4 linked regions of the Saccharomyces cerevisiae S288C genome follow. Changing the gene in region 1 together with any one later gene gives a genetic interaction. Each region holds a gene or a part of one and is shown in the gene's direction. Other genes may lie near its edges.

What was found.
Region 2: mutations in POL32 (region 1) and RAD51 impair growth when combined (synthetic growth defect), as found in Saccharomyces cerevisiae (14 studies listed by BioGRID, with this or other methods).
Region 3: mutations in POL32 (region 1) and HST3 impair growth when combined (synthetic growth defect), as found in Saccharomyces cerevisiae (6 studies listed by BioGRID, with this or other methods).
Region 4: mutations in POL32 (region 1) and TOF1 together harm fitness more than expected from each alone (negative genetic interaction), as found in Saccharomyces cerevisiae (9 studies listed by BioGRID, with this or other methods).

The regions. Positions count from the first base shown.
Region 1 is NC_001142.9:515,961-519,411, reverse strand, and holds POL32 (DNA polymerase delta subunit POL32), read left to right. Parts: upstream 1-1,898; coding exon 1,899-2,951; downstream 2,952-3,451. Other genes in the region: VPS55 (Vps55p), read left to right, coding at 227-649; NUP85 (Nup85p), read right to left, coding at 3,123-3,451. UniProt on the Saccharomyces cerevisiae protein: DNA polymerase delta (DNA polymerase III) participates in chromosomal DNA replication.
Region 2 is NC_001137.3:348,245-351,682, forward strand, and holds RAD51 (recombinase RAD51), read left to right. Parts: upstream 1-1,735; coding exon 1,736-2,938; downstream 2,939-3,438. Other genes in the region: AIM11 (Aim11p), read right to left, coding at 33-156; PUP3 (proteasome core particle subunit beta 3), read right to left, coding at 485-1,102. UniProt on the Saccharomyces cerevisiae protein: Required both for recombination and for the repair of DNA damage caused by X-rays. Its function may be modulated by interaction with other repair proteins. RAD52 interacts directly with RAD51, via its C-terminus.
Region 3 is NC_001147.6:376,614-380,062, forward strand, and holds HST3 (NAD-dependent histone deacetylase HST3), read left to right. Parts: upstream 1-1,605; coding exon 1,606-2,949; downstream 2,950-3,449. Other genes in the region: AHC1 (Ahc1p), read right to left, coding at 1-1,099; BUB3 (Bub3p), read left to right, coding at 3,168-3,449. UniProt on the Saccharomyces cerevisiae protein: NAD-dependent histone deacetylase, which contributes together with HST4 to histone H3 'Lys-56' deacetylation, regulation of telomeric silencing, proper cell cycle progression, DNA damage control, DNA recombination, and genomic maintenance.
Region 4 is NC_001146.8:121,113-127,144, forward strand, and holds TOF1 (Tof1p), read left to right. Parts: upstream 1-1,770; coding exon 1,771-5,487; downstream 5,488-6,032. Other genes in the region: GOR1 (glyoxylate reductase), read right to left, coding at 6-1,058; guanine nucleotide exchange factor SEC2, read right to left, coding at 5,693-6,032. UniProt on the Saccharomyces cerevisiae protein: Forms a fork protection complex (FPC) with CSM3 and which is required for chromosome segregation during meiosis and DNA damage repair. FPC coordinates leading and lagging strand synthesis and moves with the replication fork.

The DNA.
Region 1 (3,451 bases):
AATGTACTCCTCAAAATTATTACATTTTATTATGCCTTTTTCTTAGATGGGCTTTCACTCCACTTTACGAAAAACTGAGAAAAAAAGAGTAGGAGAAAAACTAGAAAAGGGGAATCACACACACACACACACACACACACACACACACACACACACGTCTAATATCGGCGCATATTTATCAAATCTAAAAGGCAAAGAATCTTAATACATAAAATCCCAGACGGTTATGATGGAATTCAAAGTGTCACCATTGACAAAGATTATTTCTCTGTCAGGATTCCTCGCATTGGGATTCCTTTTGGTCATACTAAGCTGCGCATTATTCCATAATTACTACCCACTATTCGATATTTTGATCTTTTTGCTTGCCCCAATACCAAACACAATTTTCAATGCAGGAAATAAATATCACACATCTGACTTCATGTCCGATTCATCAAACACTGGCCAAGATCTGGCTCACTTCCTTACAGGAATGCTGGTGACAAGCGGTATAGCACTCCCTGTTGTTTTCTATCATTGCCAATTGATTGGCCATTTGAGTTGTATCATGTGCATGATCGGTGGTCTTATCATATATTCTAGTATTGTTATTTTTAAATGGTTTTTCAAAAAAGATTTCAACGAAGATGATTCCCTTTTTGGTTAATATATAACAATTACTCATCCCCTCAACAGACTAAGCCAACTGGGTGCGTGAACCGTACATTGATATTATATAGTATGATACTCTACTCAAGGTGGGAAATCTGGCGTCGATTTCTCCTTTTTTTTAGAACTACTTAAATATAATAGATTACATAAAATTACTTTCTGTCTTTCTTCCATTTCAAGTTTTCAAACAAAAAATGCCAAGAAATTCGTGTCTTTAGCCTCTAGTTGACAGAATAATGTAGATAGGCAAAGTTGGCTGAATACATCCGTAATTTCGGGATAAGGATTGGCATTGAATCGCCACATGTCTATAATCTTATTTGAATCGATCTATGAGCGGAAACGTTGAGCAATGGTCGTACAACCATTCTGTGCCGCAATATACCTCATGAAAAGAGATGGGATTGCAAACCTTGAGAAATTAGTCTCTAGTAGGATAATGTATTGTACATTTGTTTGATTCCGCAGTTTTTATAGTGGCTTGAGATTTGTATTTCAACTAGATATGTTGAAAATATCCTCGTAGCGAATGTGGACATAGTGATAACAACAATGTCTTTGTCTTCTACACAAAGGTAAAGGTGTATAAAGCTTTACACACAATAAAGACGACACATAACAAATTATGCAACTGCGCTGCTATTGTAGGATAGCGTCCGATATTATCAATTCTTGCTTTTCAGCTTCTATTATATCTGATGACTAGTTCTCAATCTTTACGTCATCTTCCTATGGCATATTTTGTAATGTGCTAGTGACATGAATACTACTATGGATTATAGTAGGATTTCATTCTAACACAGCTCAGTGTGCAAGTTGTTTTTAATTTTACAATATGAATCTTTATTAAGTCTAAAATATTCATAAAAGTTAAGCGCCGTGGCGCAGTGGAAGCGCGCAGGGCTCATAACCCTGATGTCCTCGGATCGAAACCGAGCGGCGCTAAGCTTAATTTTTATATTTTTATCGTTTCACCTTATGAAAATTCTCGATCAGTATGCCTCAATATAGAACACTTCATTAATGGAAGTACCTTAATAAGGTTATACTAACGAATAGGTCTATTTTCCACTACGGTGTAACTTTCCGACGGAAGTAGTAAACGCGTATGAGTTAAACACGCGAAACTCTTAATTTTGAAAAGTACGCAGAAGTTCGTTACATCGCAATCAGATCAGCTCGAAATAATATTTCACATTAACTAACAACCAGAAATAGGCTTTAGTTAACTCAATCGGTAATTAATGGATCAAAAGGCGTCATATTTTATCAATGAGAAGCTCTTCACTGAGGTAAAGCCCGTCCTTTTTACGGATCTAATTCACCACTTGAAGATCGGCCCATCCATGGCCAAGAAATTAATGTTTGACTATTACAAACAGACCACCAATGCCAAATACAACTGCGTAGTGATATGCTGCTACAAAGATCAAACTATTAAAATTATTCATGATCTTTCCAACATTCCACAGCAAGATTCAATAATTGATTGTTTCATCTATGCCTTCAATCCCATGGACAGCTTCATACCATATTACGACATTATCGATCAAAAGGATTGTTTAACCATTAAAAATTCATACGAACTTAAAGTTTCTGAATCATCGAAAATTATAGAGAGGACTAAGACGTTAGAAGAGAAATCTAAACCTTTGGTAAGGCCTACAGCAAGATCAAAGACCACGCCAGAAGAAACAACCGGAAGGAAATCCAAATCTAAAGACATGGGTCTCAGGTCTACTGCACTGCTGGCTAAGATGAAAAAGGATAGAGATGACAAGGAAACCTCTAGACAAAATGAGTTACGTAAAAGGAAAGAGGAGAACTTGCAAAAAATAAATAAACAGAACCCTGAAAGAGAAGCTCAAATGAAAGAGTTAAATAATCTTTTTGTCGAAGATGACTTAGATACAGAGGAAGTAAATGGAGGGTCCAAGCCCAACTCACCTAAAGAAACTGACAGCAACGATAAGGACAAAAACAACGATGATTTAGAAGACTTGTTGGAAACGACAGCAGAAGATTCACTTATGGATGTACCTAAAATACAGCAAACAAAGCCTTCTGAAACAGAACATTCAAAGGAACCTAAATCTGAAGAAGAGCCCTCCTCTTTTATTGATGAGGATGGATATATTGTGACAAAGAGACCCGCAACTTCAACACCACCACGCAAGCCATCACCCGTGGTAAAAAGGGCATTGTCGTCTTCAAAAAAGCAAGAAACGCCGTCATCGAATAAAAGGTTAAAAAAGCAAGGAACATTGGAAAGCTTTTTCAAAAGAAAGGCAAAATAATCTTCTTTTTTTTCCAAACACTTTCCATTACTAATTGTGATGTAATGTATAATACAAATGTCAACTTACGTGATAGAAAAATAGATCAATATAAATATATATTGTTGTTTAAATTTACTTATTTTCGTCATATATCCTAATATACCATCCGAAGGACATTACTATACTGATTTACATGAACGCTTGACATAATTTGAAATTTAGTTTCTTTCTTAAATTTTTCAAAAGTGTTGCCATGCTACTAGGTAAGCTTTTATCTGCTTCAATAATGGTTTCATATAAGTTTGAACTTTTTTCATCAGCGTCATCCCATTTAGTTTCTATAACTTCAATGACTGTCGCCACTGAATCTTCATCCATTAGCTTCTTATCATCTAAAAGGAAAATTGGGTACAGGAATTTCGCCACAAGCAAAACCAAGTAATGTTTTGGTAAATAAGGGAATTCAATCAGCAAAAGCAATAGGCGCAGCGCTTGGCCCCAATCTTCTCTGTCCCTCA
Region 2 (3,438 bases), on another chromosome or scaffold:
TTTTGGCCACTGAACTAGGACAAAATACATACATTTTCGTACTTTTATGGCCCTGGAGATAAGCCTCATGGTAATCAGGGTGAAGGCGGCCGCACCATAAAATCTGGCCATTTGAAGAACCCTGCGTTTCTTAAGTTCCTTCTTCTCTTCGATCATAGTTTCGTTTCTTGATGAAGTAGGATAGTCGTACTAATTGCTGACAAACCCGTCAAAGAATCAAGTTCCCCATCCTAATAAGTATTAAAAGCGCCAATTTTTCAAGAGACTCGCGGCTGGTGAATAACGCTGCTCCTTAGAAAAGGACAGCCAGCGGATAGCTACTCAGATCTTCGACTGACTTTATGCATTTTAGTATTTATATATTCATTCGATCTATTCTGTTTACTTAAAAATTAAAGATGAGTTGGATGTGGAAAATTCTTGACGTTCCGCTGATATTTTGTGTTGGGGTTGTTTTTGGGACCATGAGATTGCCATGAACCGATCAATCTTGTCTCATCTTCAAGTATCTCTTCACCACTTCATCCTTCTTGATGATGTATACTACAGCTCCCCAGCCTGATAGAGCGTCACGGTCAGCAGCATTCAGTAGGGCCTGACTTATAGTTTCGAAAAGATCTTCTGGCTCTAGATTAGGTTCGTACAGGGACTCACACATACCGAACAGTTGGTCGGATGCAGTACCGCTAACGATAAAATCCTTGGCCTCGTCGATACAGCCGATTAGGTCGAATCCCGCAATAAAGGGCTTCCCGGACTTGGAATTAATACCTGCTACCACCGGCCCCACAAAGTATGGACCGAATCTTCTTTCATAAAGTGAACTTGACACTAATTGGGTAAACGTTTCAGGCTCAATGGCCCTTTCTTCCTTCAACTTATATAGGTTCGTCTTGTAGCGGAACATCTCGTTCAGAGTAGTCACGTCGGTAGCCAGACCGGTAATCCCTAAGAACACATGCCCATAGTGGAAGATTTTTTCAAACTTGTTCGACACACCTAGTGACTGGCTTCCGAGACGCAAATCACAGGCAATGGCCACACAGTCTTTACCTGTCATCGCAACGACGATACCACCGTTAATAGAACTTGGATCCGACATTTTTTTTTTATGCTTTATTCACTGTTCAATATTTTCACCACAATTCGCAAGAAACGCACTCTACTTCGAAACTACGGTTCAAACTTACTTAGCAGCTTCCCGATTTAATTGGCCTTTCTACTATGCCATAAACTCTTTCTTCCTCTCTTTTCATCGCCCCTGCATTTGCACTTTTTTGCCACCGGCAGTGCCATCCGGTCACATGACTACACCACGTTAATAGCGATCTGGCTTATCATTGTCACAGAGTAAATTAAAATGGACGGTAAATGTTGGAAATGCACCACTACCGTTCTTCAACCAATCTAGTTTAGCTATCCTGCAACAGGTGGCCTTCTTGAGCATTCCCTGAGCATTCCAACCGGTTGTATCAGTGTTTTATCACCGTCTCACCATATCCCACGACTAGGCCACACTTCGTTACCCTATGCTACGCGTCATTTCCGCTATTTCTGTCCTGGTTTGTTTACAGTACGCGTGGTGGGACCATAAAGGGGAATAGTGGGGACTGGAGAAAAAATTTTCTCAGTTACTTCTTCTATCTTCCGTAGTTTCCATATACTAGTAGTTGAGTGTAGCGACAAAGAGCAGACGTAGTTATTTGTTAAAGGCCTACTAATTTGTTATCGTCATATGTCTCAAGTTCAAGAACAACATATATCAGAGTCACAGCTTCAGTACGGGAACGGTTCGTTGATGTCCACTGTACCAGCAGACCTTTCACAGTCAGTCGTTGATGGAAACGGCAACGGTAGCAGCGAAGATATTGAGGCCACCAACGGCTCCGGCGATGGTGGCGGATTGCAGGAGCAAGCGGAAGCGCAAGGTGAAATGGAGGATGAAGCATACGATGAAGCTGCCTTAGGTTCGTTTGTGCCAATAGAAAAACTGCAAGTGAACGGGATTACTATGGCGGATGTGAAAAAACTAAGGGAGAGTGGGCTTCACACTGCTGAAGCGGTAGCATATGCTCCCAGAAAGGATTTATTGGAAATCAAAGGTATATCGGAAGCTAAGGCAGATAAGTTGCTAAACGAAGCGGCAAGGCTAGTGCCTATGGGATTTGTCACGGCTGCTGATTTTCATATGAGAAGATCGGAGCTGATTTGTTTGACAACGGGTTCTAAGAATTTGGACACTCTTTTGGGTGGTGGTGTGGAAACTGGTTCTATTACTGAGCTTTTCGGTGAATTCAGGACAGGTAAGTCCCAGCTATGTCACACTTTGGCCGTGACATGCCAAATTCCATTGGATATTGGTGGCGGTGAAGGTAAGTGTTTGTATATCGATACCGAAGGTACTTTCAGGCCGGTAAGATTGGTATCCATAGCTCAGCGGTTCGGATTAGACCCGGATGATGCTTTGAACAACGTTGCGTATGCAAGAGCCTATAACGCCGATCATCAGTTAAGACTTCTGGATGCTGCTGCCCAAATGATGAGCGAGTCTCGGTTTTCCTTGATTGTGGTCGATTCTGTTATGGCTCTATACCGTACGGATTTTTCTGGTCGTGGTGAACTAAGCGCAAGGCAAATGCATTTAGCCAAATTTATGCGTGCTTTGCAAAGGCTGGCCGACCAATTTGGTGTTGCAGTCGTCGTTACTAACCAAGTGGTCGCCCAAGTTGATGGTGGTATGGCTTTTAATCCAGATCCAAAGAAGCCTATCGGTGGTAATATTATGGCACATTCTTCCACCACGCGATTAGGTTTCAAAAAGGGTAAGGGATGTCAAAGATTATGCAAAGTTGTTGACTCACCTTGCTTACCAGAGGCTGAATGTGTGTTCGCGATCTATGAAGATGGTGTTGGTGACCCCAGAGAAGAAGACGAGTAGGTATTTGGTCTCTTGTCTCTATTTATTTACACAGGTTTACTTTCAATTCTCCTCTTTTTCTTAGGTTGCGTTCCGTACATTTTTATCTTCATTTCCATCCACTGTCTTAGATTTTTGCATATATTTTGTCATATACCTCGCAACCCTACTGCGGTCTTAACCTTTTTTTTCAGTTCTTTTAAATAACTTTCGTATTGTCTGTCACCCATGAAATATATGTATTTTTCTACTCTTCTTCCCGATGACTACTTCCTCCTGCAGGGTCCGCGCGGCTTTATCCTTTTAGGGGAGTGAAGAGAAAAATTTTCTGATATGTCGCCATCCTCTTATAAAACCAACGTAAAATACCATACACTTCTTTATGGCAATGAATTTCCTTGTCTTCGTTTCGACGTTTTTAAATTGAATAAAAAATTGTACTTGGAAAAAAGAATAGAACAATACTTTTGCTAACAGCAAGAGAAGTACGGTTGACATTACGAGTATCCCTTTGTTAAAAT
Region 3 (3,449 bases), on another chromosome or scaffold:
TAGATAAAATTTCCGGATCCTGCTTATCATTAGGAAGTAGTTTTTGGTTGTTTAAAACTGCCAATGGTTGGCTTGAATATAGTTTAGAATGTTTTAGTCGAGTATGGTTCACGATACCTTGCGCGGAAGTGAAACCGGAACGGTCACATTTGGAGCACGTAATTATAACCAAAATGCCGTCATATCTTCTAAAAATGGGCTCATTATTTTCAGTCTTACCGATGATACCGCTATTGCTCGTCAAACAAGTGCTACTGTAATTACGTCTGTGGTTAAGATGCATCTGACTTGGTTTAAAAGGGAGTATCTGGAACCCCGGCTGCTCGTCTAAGGGGGAGATTGAGGAGGAACGAGGTGAAGAAATGCCATCCGAATTAGAGTGAGGAAGCGAGACGGGAGTGGGCTTGGTTATGGCTTCTGATAGAGATTTAGAACCTGTTAGCCTGTAATCAATTATATTCGAATTTGCCGGACGGAGGGCAGAAGGTTCTAGCAAAAGCCCGTTACTCTTGCTTCTAGTATGATAATGGTGGTGTGGTATGCGTGTTGTTGACAGATTTCTGTTGCTGCTCGAAGACAAAGGCTGACAGTTGATGTTATAATCCGATAGAACCGGGTATGACAGGTTATAATTTGATGCGTTCGTATTTTCCGTAGCCGTACTGTCGTGAAAGTGGCCGCCGAGCACGCTATGCTGCTGATGTTGTTTTATTTTGAGTTGATACGTCCGTTCGATTTTGTTCAATAGACCAGTATCCTTATGCAGGGTTTCCAAGAGAGCTAGTTTTGCGTTAACCTTTTGAACATTTCTTCGTAAGTGCCTAACATGCTTGTGGTTTAGCATTATATGTAGGTTCAAAACATTCTGTATTTCCCCTTTGGCACATTCGTACTTCAACCGCTGGGTATTTTCGCTATCCTTGTCCGGATTACTGGTGGCGGTGTCCATTTTGAAGGGCTCATCCATGTTGTTTTCCAAATCCTGAGGAGACTTTGGCGTGGTAACCTGATAAACGTTCGTCATCTTAGAGGATGACGATGAGGAAGAATTAGGATTATGATGCTGGTGCTGCAGTTTATCTTGGGCGGGACTCATCATGAGGAGATGGACATATACACAAAGTGTTGGATGAGAAGCGTGAGCCCGAAGAGTAGTGAAATGCCGAAGATCAGGGTGTTTATATGAACGAACACTAGCTTACAAATGTGGAAACGGGATCCTTCAGAGGTAAAATGCGCCTTCAGTGGCCAAAGTTCATCACCTTCCTTAGCACGGGTTCTTGCTGTCTGCTCTTCCTGCTTCTTCCCTGTTCGTTTTTCCCTCTTCCTACGGCTATGCACAGTGGCAAATGCACTGCATGTGTTTCTGTGGCGGGTATCCCTCAATTGCGGGTAACAATAAGTAACTCAACATCACGAACGACGTTTATGTTTGCTGTTACCACAAAGGGTAAAACGTCAATAAAAGCAAGCAATGTTATTCGTGCCAGAGAACTATATCTGGCGTACGTCTTATATATAACACAAGCAAGGGCAAATACGTGGTTAGTGGTGTAAAAACTGAAGGGATTAATTTACATACAACTAGATCCATCTTTCTCAAAAATGACTTCAGTATCGCCCTCGCCACCTGCCAGTCGATCGGGCTCAATGTGCTCCGACTTACCGTCCTCTTTGCAGACTGAGAAACTGGCACATATTATAGGTCTTGATGCCGACGATGAAGTTCTCCGGCGCGTAACCAAGCAGTTGAGCAGATCTAGGAGAATTGCTTGTCTGACTGGGGCAGGCATTTCGTGCAACGCGGGCATTCCTGACTTTCGCTCTTCTGATGGGCTCTACGACCTAGTGAAAAAGGATTGTTCACAGTATTGGTCTATCAAGTCCGGCAGGGAAATGTTTGATATTTCGCTATTTAGAGATGACTTCAAAATATCCATTTTTGCTAAATTTATGGAGAGGCTCTATTCAAATGTTCAATTGGCAAAGCCGACTAAGACGCACAAGTTCATTGCGCATCTAAAAGATAGGAACAAACTGCTGCGCTGTTACACGCAAAACATCGATGGGCTCGAAGAAAGCATAGGACTTACTTTATCAAATAGGAAATTACCGCTTACCTCATTTAGTTCACATTGGAAAAATCTGGATGTCGTTCAGTTGCACGGCGACCTGAAAACTCTTTCGTGTACAAAGTGCTTCCAGACTTTTCCCTGGAGCAGGTACTGGTCTCGTTGTCTAAGAAGAGGTGAGTTACCATTGTGTCCGGATTGCGAAGCACTTATCAACAAGAGATTGAATGAAGGAAAGCGAACTCTTGGTTCTAATGTGGGTATTCTAAGACCTAATATCGTCCTGTATGGTGAAAACCATCCATCCTGTGAAATTATTACGCAAGGCCTAAATCTTGACATAATTAAAGGCAATCCTGATTTTTTGATCATCATGGGTACAAGTTTGAAAGTTGATGGTGTGAAACAACTGGTAAAAAAATTAAGTAAGAAAATTCACGATCGTGGCGGCCTGATCATTCTCGTAAACAAGACACCCATTGGCGAATCCTCTTGGCACGGCATTATAGACTACCAAATCCACTCAGATTGTGATAATTGGGTCACATTTCTTGAATCCCAAATACCAGATTTCTTCAAGACGCAAGATCAAATTAAGAAGTTAAGACAGTTAAAAAGGGAGGCGAGCGACTTGAGAAAGCAAATGAAGGCCCAAAAAGACTCAATCGGAACCCCCCCAACAACCCCTCTACGAACTGCCCAGGGGATTGATATTCAAGGAAACAACGAATTGAATACAAAAATAAAGTCGTTAAACACAGTTAAGAGAAAAATACTGTCACCAGAAAACTCCAGTGAGGAAGACGAAGAGGAAAACTTGGATACAAGAAAACGCGCTAAGATACGACCAACTTTCGGTGACAACCAAGCCTCATAAACTTAACTATTAAAATTGAGTTAACGATAAATAATCGAGGCAGACACCCCTTTGCATAATATATCATCCGTTTAATTTATCTTCCATTTATATACTCATACATATACCAACGGAGATCTGCATGTCCGAGAATACAAAAAATAGTGAACGAAAAAAATATCACATCGCGAAAGAAAAGCTATCTGATATCTGCAACACGAAAACACAACAGTCGCGGCATGCAGATAGTACAAATTGAGCAGGCCCCAAAAGACTACATAAGCGACATCAAAATAATCCCTTCCAAGTCACTGCTTTTGATTACGTCTTGGGATGGCTCTTTAACAGTCTACAAATTCGACATTCAAGCAAAGAATGTTGACCTTTTACAATCGCTACGATATAAACATCCGTTATTGTGCTGCAATTTCATCGACAATACCGATCTGCAAATATACGTGGGAACTGTACAGGGTGAAATTCTAAAAGTTGATTTGATAGGTAGTCCCAGCTTCCAAGCT
Region 4 (6,032 bases), on another chromosome or scaffold:
TGTAGTCAAACTAATGGCTTAGATTCATTGGGCCAGTCTTCATTTTGTAATTCCGGAACAATAGTCAAGACTTTCCCGGTCAATATCACATTCTTTGCATTTTCAACGACCAGTTCTTCCATTTTCTTTCTTGTTTCTACACTATGTGTGCCCATATGAGGCAGTCCTAAGACTTGGGACATCGATAATAACTCTTTGGATATTTTTGGCTCATATTCGAAAACGTCCAAACCAGCACTTCTAATCTTTCCAGAACGCAAAGCATCAGTCATGGCTTGTTCGTCTATCACGGCACCACGCGCTGTGTTAACAATAACTACACCATCTTTCATTTTTTCAATAGTCTCTGCATTGATTAGATGGTGAGTATTGTGGTTCAGTGGGACGTTTACAGATACTATATCAGAACGCTTCAAAAACTCCTCGAATCCTACATATTCACAACCATGCTCTTCTTCGGAAGGAAGCTGGTGTCTGTTATGATATATGAAATTCTCGAACCCAAACGGCTTCAATCTCTCTAAAATACAACGACCAATCCTACCTAGACCCAGTATACCAACTGTTTTCCCTTCAGGGTCGTATCCAAAGGGAGAACCACATGCGGGTCCTGCCTCCGGCCAGTTTCCCTCGATCAACCTTCTGTTACCAATACCGAAGTTTCTTAGGGCACCCAATAGCAAAAATACATGCGTATCAGCGGTAGCATTGCTAACTAAATCAGGAACATTGGCAACCTGGATGTGCCTTTTCTTGAATGGCTCAACATCAATTTGGTCATAACCAGCACCAGTATGACATACAGCCACTACGGAGGAGGGCAAAGCAAGAGCAAGCTCTTCATCAAATCTACCGGTGTTTTTCACACTCCTTGCTGTTCTAGTAATGACTTGTACTTGGGAGAGCTTATTTTGTGGGTCTTTTACCTCCCGCAAAAACTGTTCTCTAGTGGTGGATTCAGGGATGGTAATTACATCCGCAATCTTTTCCAATTCCCCCCAGGCTTGGTCACCAAAGGCATCCTTTCCTAATTTCAAAACAATTGGTTTCTTACTCATATTCTCTTCTCCTCTTCTTGCTCGTTTATGTATTGTTAATACTTCGGTATTGTAGAGCAATAATCATGTAGAAGGATTTCCCTAACGTAACAACAAGGCCAATAGAATTTACTTTTTATATGCTCGAGATTAGTGAAAAATGGGATAAGATTGCCTTGTTATCCCCGCCCCCTGCCAAGACTTTTGCAGATTTTAAGTCCGCTCTCGGTCCTACGTAATAAATGCCTGGAGAAGCTCTAGAGCTAATTGCGTCGTCCTTCAGGAATTCTGAAGACCACAGCAACGCAATCAGATGGCGGAACCACATTATGAAGCCAAGTGAGGTGTATACAGAGTTATACGTACTTTTCATCCATCCCCGCTCGGTTTCACCGTTCATAACGCTGGTTTTCACTGCCACTTCTCATATCAAGTCAGCGAAATAACCAGTAGTTGTCCTGTATATAGGCATCCCTACCGTTTGCTTTAGGAAGCTGTTCTGTGTTACTATCACAACTGGGTAGTGCCCTGTATGAATTGCTTCCCTGTGGAAATGGCCCTTCCATTATGCTACTTTGACGCGTTTACTGCCGCATTACGCGTTTACGATGAAAAATTAAAATGAGTATTAAGGATTTTTCAAATGAGATATGGTTCGTAAGTCGCCTCACATATGATAATACCATCTAGCTTGTGGGGTTTAGTGTATCTTTAATATAGGAGGGCGCACACTATGTCTGCTGATTTGCAACAAGGCACTACAAATGCGGCTGATTTCTCTCTGACGGTACTTAGAGCAAGAATTGCTTTATTGGCAACTGCCATCGGTGGGCCGGATTATACTTCCCAGATAGACCCACCCCCTTATAAGCTTGGCGATGACTGTTTGGCGTGCTTAAAAGATCTGAAAAGATGGTTTAAACTAGTGGATGACCAGCAGAAAAGATGGGATGTGGCAATGGCAGTAGCTGAATATCGCATCTTGACGGATGATCTGTTACCTATTCTGATAGATTGGGAAAACAAATGTTCTCTTGCAGCAAAGCTTGCAAAGAACAACCCAGACCATGAAGAGTTTAGAAACAAAGCTTATTACGATAAAATTGCGCTAAATTGTCTACAACTATTGGTCCTTATGACTTGGCCTTTAATTGTAACTGAACAGTCTTCATCAAATCAAATTACTCTCTATGGTGAGCTAAAGAAGCATCAATTGGTATACAAGAAAACGATTCTGTCTATGGAAAGTGGTAAAGTGTTAAGAGCTGCCATTAGATTGGCTCTGGATGTTATCAAAATCGACCGATTATCAAGAACTCCTAGGGACAATATGGTTCTCAAATTGGTTTTGAATTTTTTCAGAAATGTCATTGCTATAGAACCCGGTGAATTTACTATCAATACTAAGAAAAGCATGCCTAAGAAAGGTATCACATCTATCGATACTTTGCCACCAAACGTCTCTATGGATGACATCTCTTTAAATACGGTTATTTCCTCATTCCATAAAAACAAGGTATTCGGTTTCCTCTTAACGCTGACCAGCTCCTTATCAAAAGAGTTTGACCAGGACTTTATCAATATCCCACTGTTGGAGATTATGTTCTACTTCACTAAAGATGTTAACCAAGAACTGCTATTCCCTCGACAGTTCGAAACCGGGACACATTCAAAGGTGGTAAATAAAAATGAGAGCTCCTCTGCTAATAACATTGTTACAAGTGCAGGTTTTGAACTATCGAAGTTATTACAAAAGGAACACCAAATGAGAAAAAACGTTATCAAGCATACATCTGCAAGACACTCCAGATTTGGTGGTCTTTTATCTATACAAACACCAGATAAAACTAGGTTAACTGTTTCTGGTAGCCAAGCTCTCGTAGATGAAAAAATAGCGCTCCAAAAACTAGATGACAGCAAAAAATGGAATAAAAGAATAATTAAAAAGCATCAATCTGTCGCAGCTGAGGGCTTACCGAATAGTCTCTTGAATTCACAAACCGGTAAAGCTATTTTTTTCACCGAATCAAATGGTAAACATTTCAAAGAATTCATCAACAACTTTATAGATTCCGGCTTTAACATCTTGTTGCATAGTGTGACGAACTACTTCACAACTGAGCAGGATAGGATGGTAACTTTGGAGCAAGTCGAATATTTACTTTTCTTTGCATGGTTTGTTAAATACCAGTTGTTGAGGTCCAAAATCGACAATTCCGCAGATATAAAGCAAGTTTCAGAAGCCTTGAAAGAGGTGACTTTCATTCTAGTGTCTTCTCTTTTAAGAAGCGCATATGACCTGAAAAATTGGACAGTGACACATGCTGGTATGATTGCATTTAATGAACTGTTGAACCTCGTTTCCCGTACAAAGGCCGCTCAAGAAGAGGATTCGACCGATATAGAATTCATTGTAAGTAGGCTTTTCAGTGACGAGAGAATACAATTACTGTCAAATCTGCCGAAGATTGGTTCCAAATACTCCCTCCAATTCATGAAAAGTTGCATTGAACTAACACACTCGGTATTGAAAGTATTAGAGCAATACTCTGACGATAAAACATTAGTTATTGAAGGCAAATCAAGACGGCAAAAAAAGTTTAATATTTCAGAAGGTGATATTACTAAATTGATAGAAGAAGAAAATGTAGATAGAGATGAAGCGCTTGATATTCTAACCTCTTCTTTAAGAAGTATAGAAGTCAATTTTCAAAAGGTGCAAGCCAACTATATGACAGAACCGGTAATAGAAACGTACATTAATTTCCTTGAAAGATTTCGTGAGCTTGAGGACGATTCCATTAAAAAAGTATTTTCCTTTTTCCATAGAGTATTTGTTCAGGCAAAAGAACAGGCATTGTTATTTAGATTTGATTTGATAATATTATTAAGAGAAATGCTTTCACCTGACGGATTAGATAGAATGTCTCGTTCAAGGAAATATGTGAGTCAATTTTCAGACTACTTCCTCGCCAGGTTGAAGAAAAGGTTAAAGAAATCACCTGCTTGGTTTGTTGGATTACTTTTCCCGCCATTACACAATAGTGAAGTAGGATTTTACCAAAGATATGGTGAATATAATGTACTTAATAATGAATCAATGTATGCCGCTCCTGCATCACAGTTCAAACCAATTCCCGATGAAGAAGCCTTACCACCTTCGATTTTGTTGGATATGAAATATGGTGTTTTAGTTTCCACATTACTTGATGATGGAAAAACTGAACTATTGGACCAACTGCTCAAGCATATAACCCACACACTAGATATTTTTAAGTCGTGGCTAACCGTAAATGTTAATGCTGGGAAAGAAACAGTTAATCCACCCAATGAATATTTCACATTGACAGGTGTACTCAACAACGACCCTATTTTTAAAGATAAGGACTACAGGGCTTTATTGTTGCTGATAGGATACTCCATTCCACGTAAAATCAATGAACCTTGTTTTTTACCGGGGACTGTTGAAGTTTCTGACCTGACTGTTTCTTGTGAACTAGTGAAAAAATACTTATCAACACCATTTGAAACTCCAAACGGACTGCCTTCTTCTTCCTATCTTCTACGAGTTCGTTCAGAAAAGGATAGTTTTTCTCACAATGAACAAGATGGATGGGAAGGAGACGATGATTATGATTACAACGATCCCTACATTGTTCCAGATGATCAAATTTTATCGAAAAGCGACGCAGCATACTTCAAGGATTTAGATAACAATGCATCAGATAAACTTAAAGGTACCAAATTCAGTAAAGGGATTGCGAGATCCAAAAAAAAAGATAAGAGGAAGCGTAGGAAAGGAGAAGCCAAGACTAATTTGCCAATGTTTGGCGACCAGGATGATGAACGACCTCAGACCGTTAGAGAACGCCATGGCGTATTCAGTAAAGAGTTTATTAGTGATTCAGAAGATGACGAGGATTTGATGAACCCTATATTTTTTGAAAACGAAACATATATGAGATGGTTACTAGATAAAAACAATGGTCAGTTGACCGAGGATAGATATATCCAGTTTGCCAAATTTGCCGCGGAAAGGATGAATAATGGGGGTGTTGTGACAGGAGATTATACGAGCTTGTTTGGTGGATCCATACCAAGTATTGAAAGCATAAGAGCTACAGAAAGTAGTTCCTTTGCGCCAGATAAAAGCCTCATTTCTTTAGCAAGCCACGTGGCATCTGAAATGTCTATTTTCGATGTAAATAATAACAATAATAATCAACTCTCTGATGACGATGTCAACTCGGAATCAAGAAATAGTTTGGGCTCATCACAGCCATCAAATTCGCAAAATATGTTCCAATCTGAGGTGTATAGCAGAAAAGAATCTACAAAGCGTTCTTTGGAAGCGAGTGCAGCCGATGAAAGCGATGAAGATGAAGAGGCCATCCGCCTTTTTGGCAAAAAGTCTAGAGTTGTTTTGAGCCAAGGTGATAGTGATGATTGAGAATGAATATGTAGTAATTAATCCCTTTAATACGTGTAATTTTAGAACCACTTCTTTACTCTGTTTTTAAGTTCAAAGTATTGACATAATATTAAAACAATACATGCGATTCATTCTTTATCATTACCTATATTTTTCTAAGTTGTTGAACATCTTAAGGAACTCAAATGTCCATTAGGACACATAAAATTAAATATTATATAATTTATTGCTGTTCCTGGGCATCATCGAAATTGTCATCATTGCTTGAAGACGCATGCAATCCGCTACTAGGACTATTTTCCCCTATTTGTTCTTGGGTTTTGTCGCCTATCGTCAAGTTTGTCTTTAAAGTTTTTTCATTATTATCCTTCTTAGAGTTCTCGTCTCCAGAAGATGCCCTCTTCGAGGATATATTTTGTTTTACATTAGACTCAGCGTTTTCAAATTCAGTCTGATCAATTGCGCTTTCTTCTCTAAATTGCTCTTCTAAATCATCCAAATCTTGGAGTAACTTCTTCTTTTGTATCTTGCGTTGAGGAGCCTTTTTCTTTATTATAGAACGA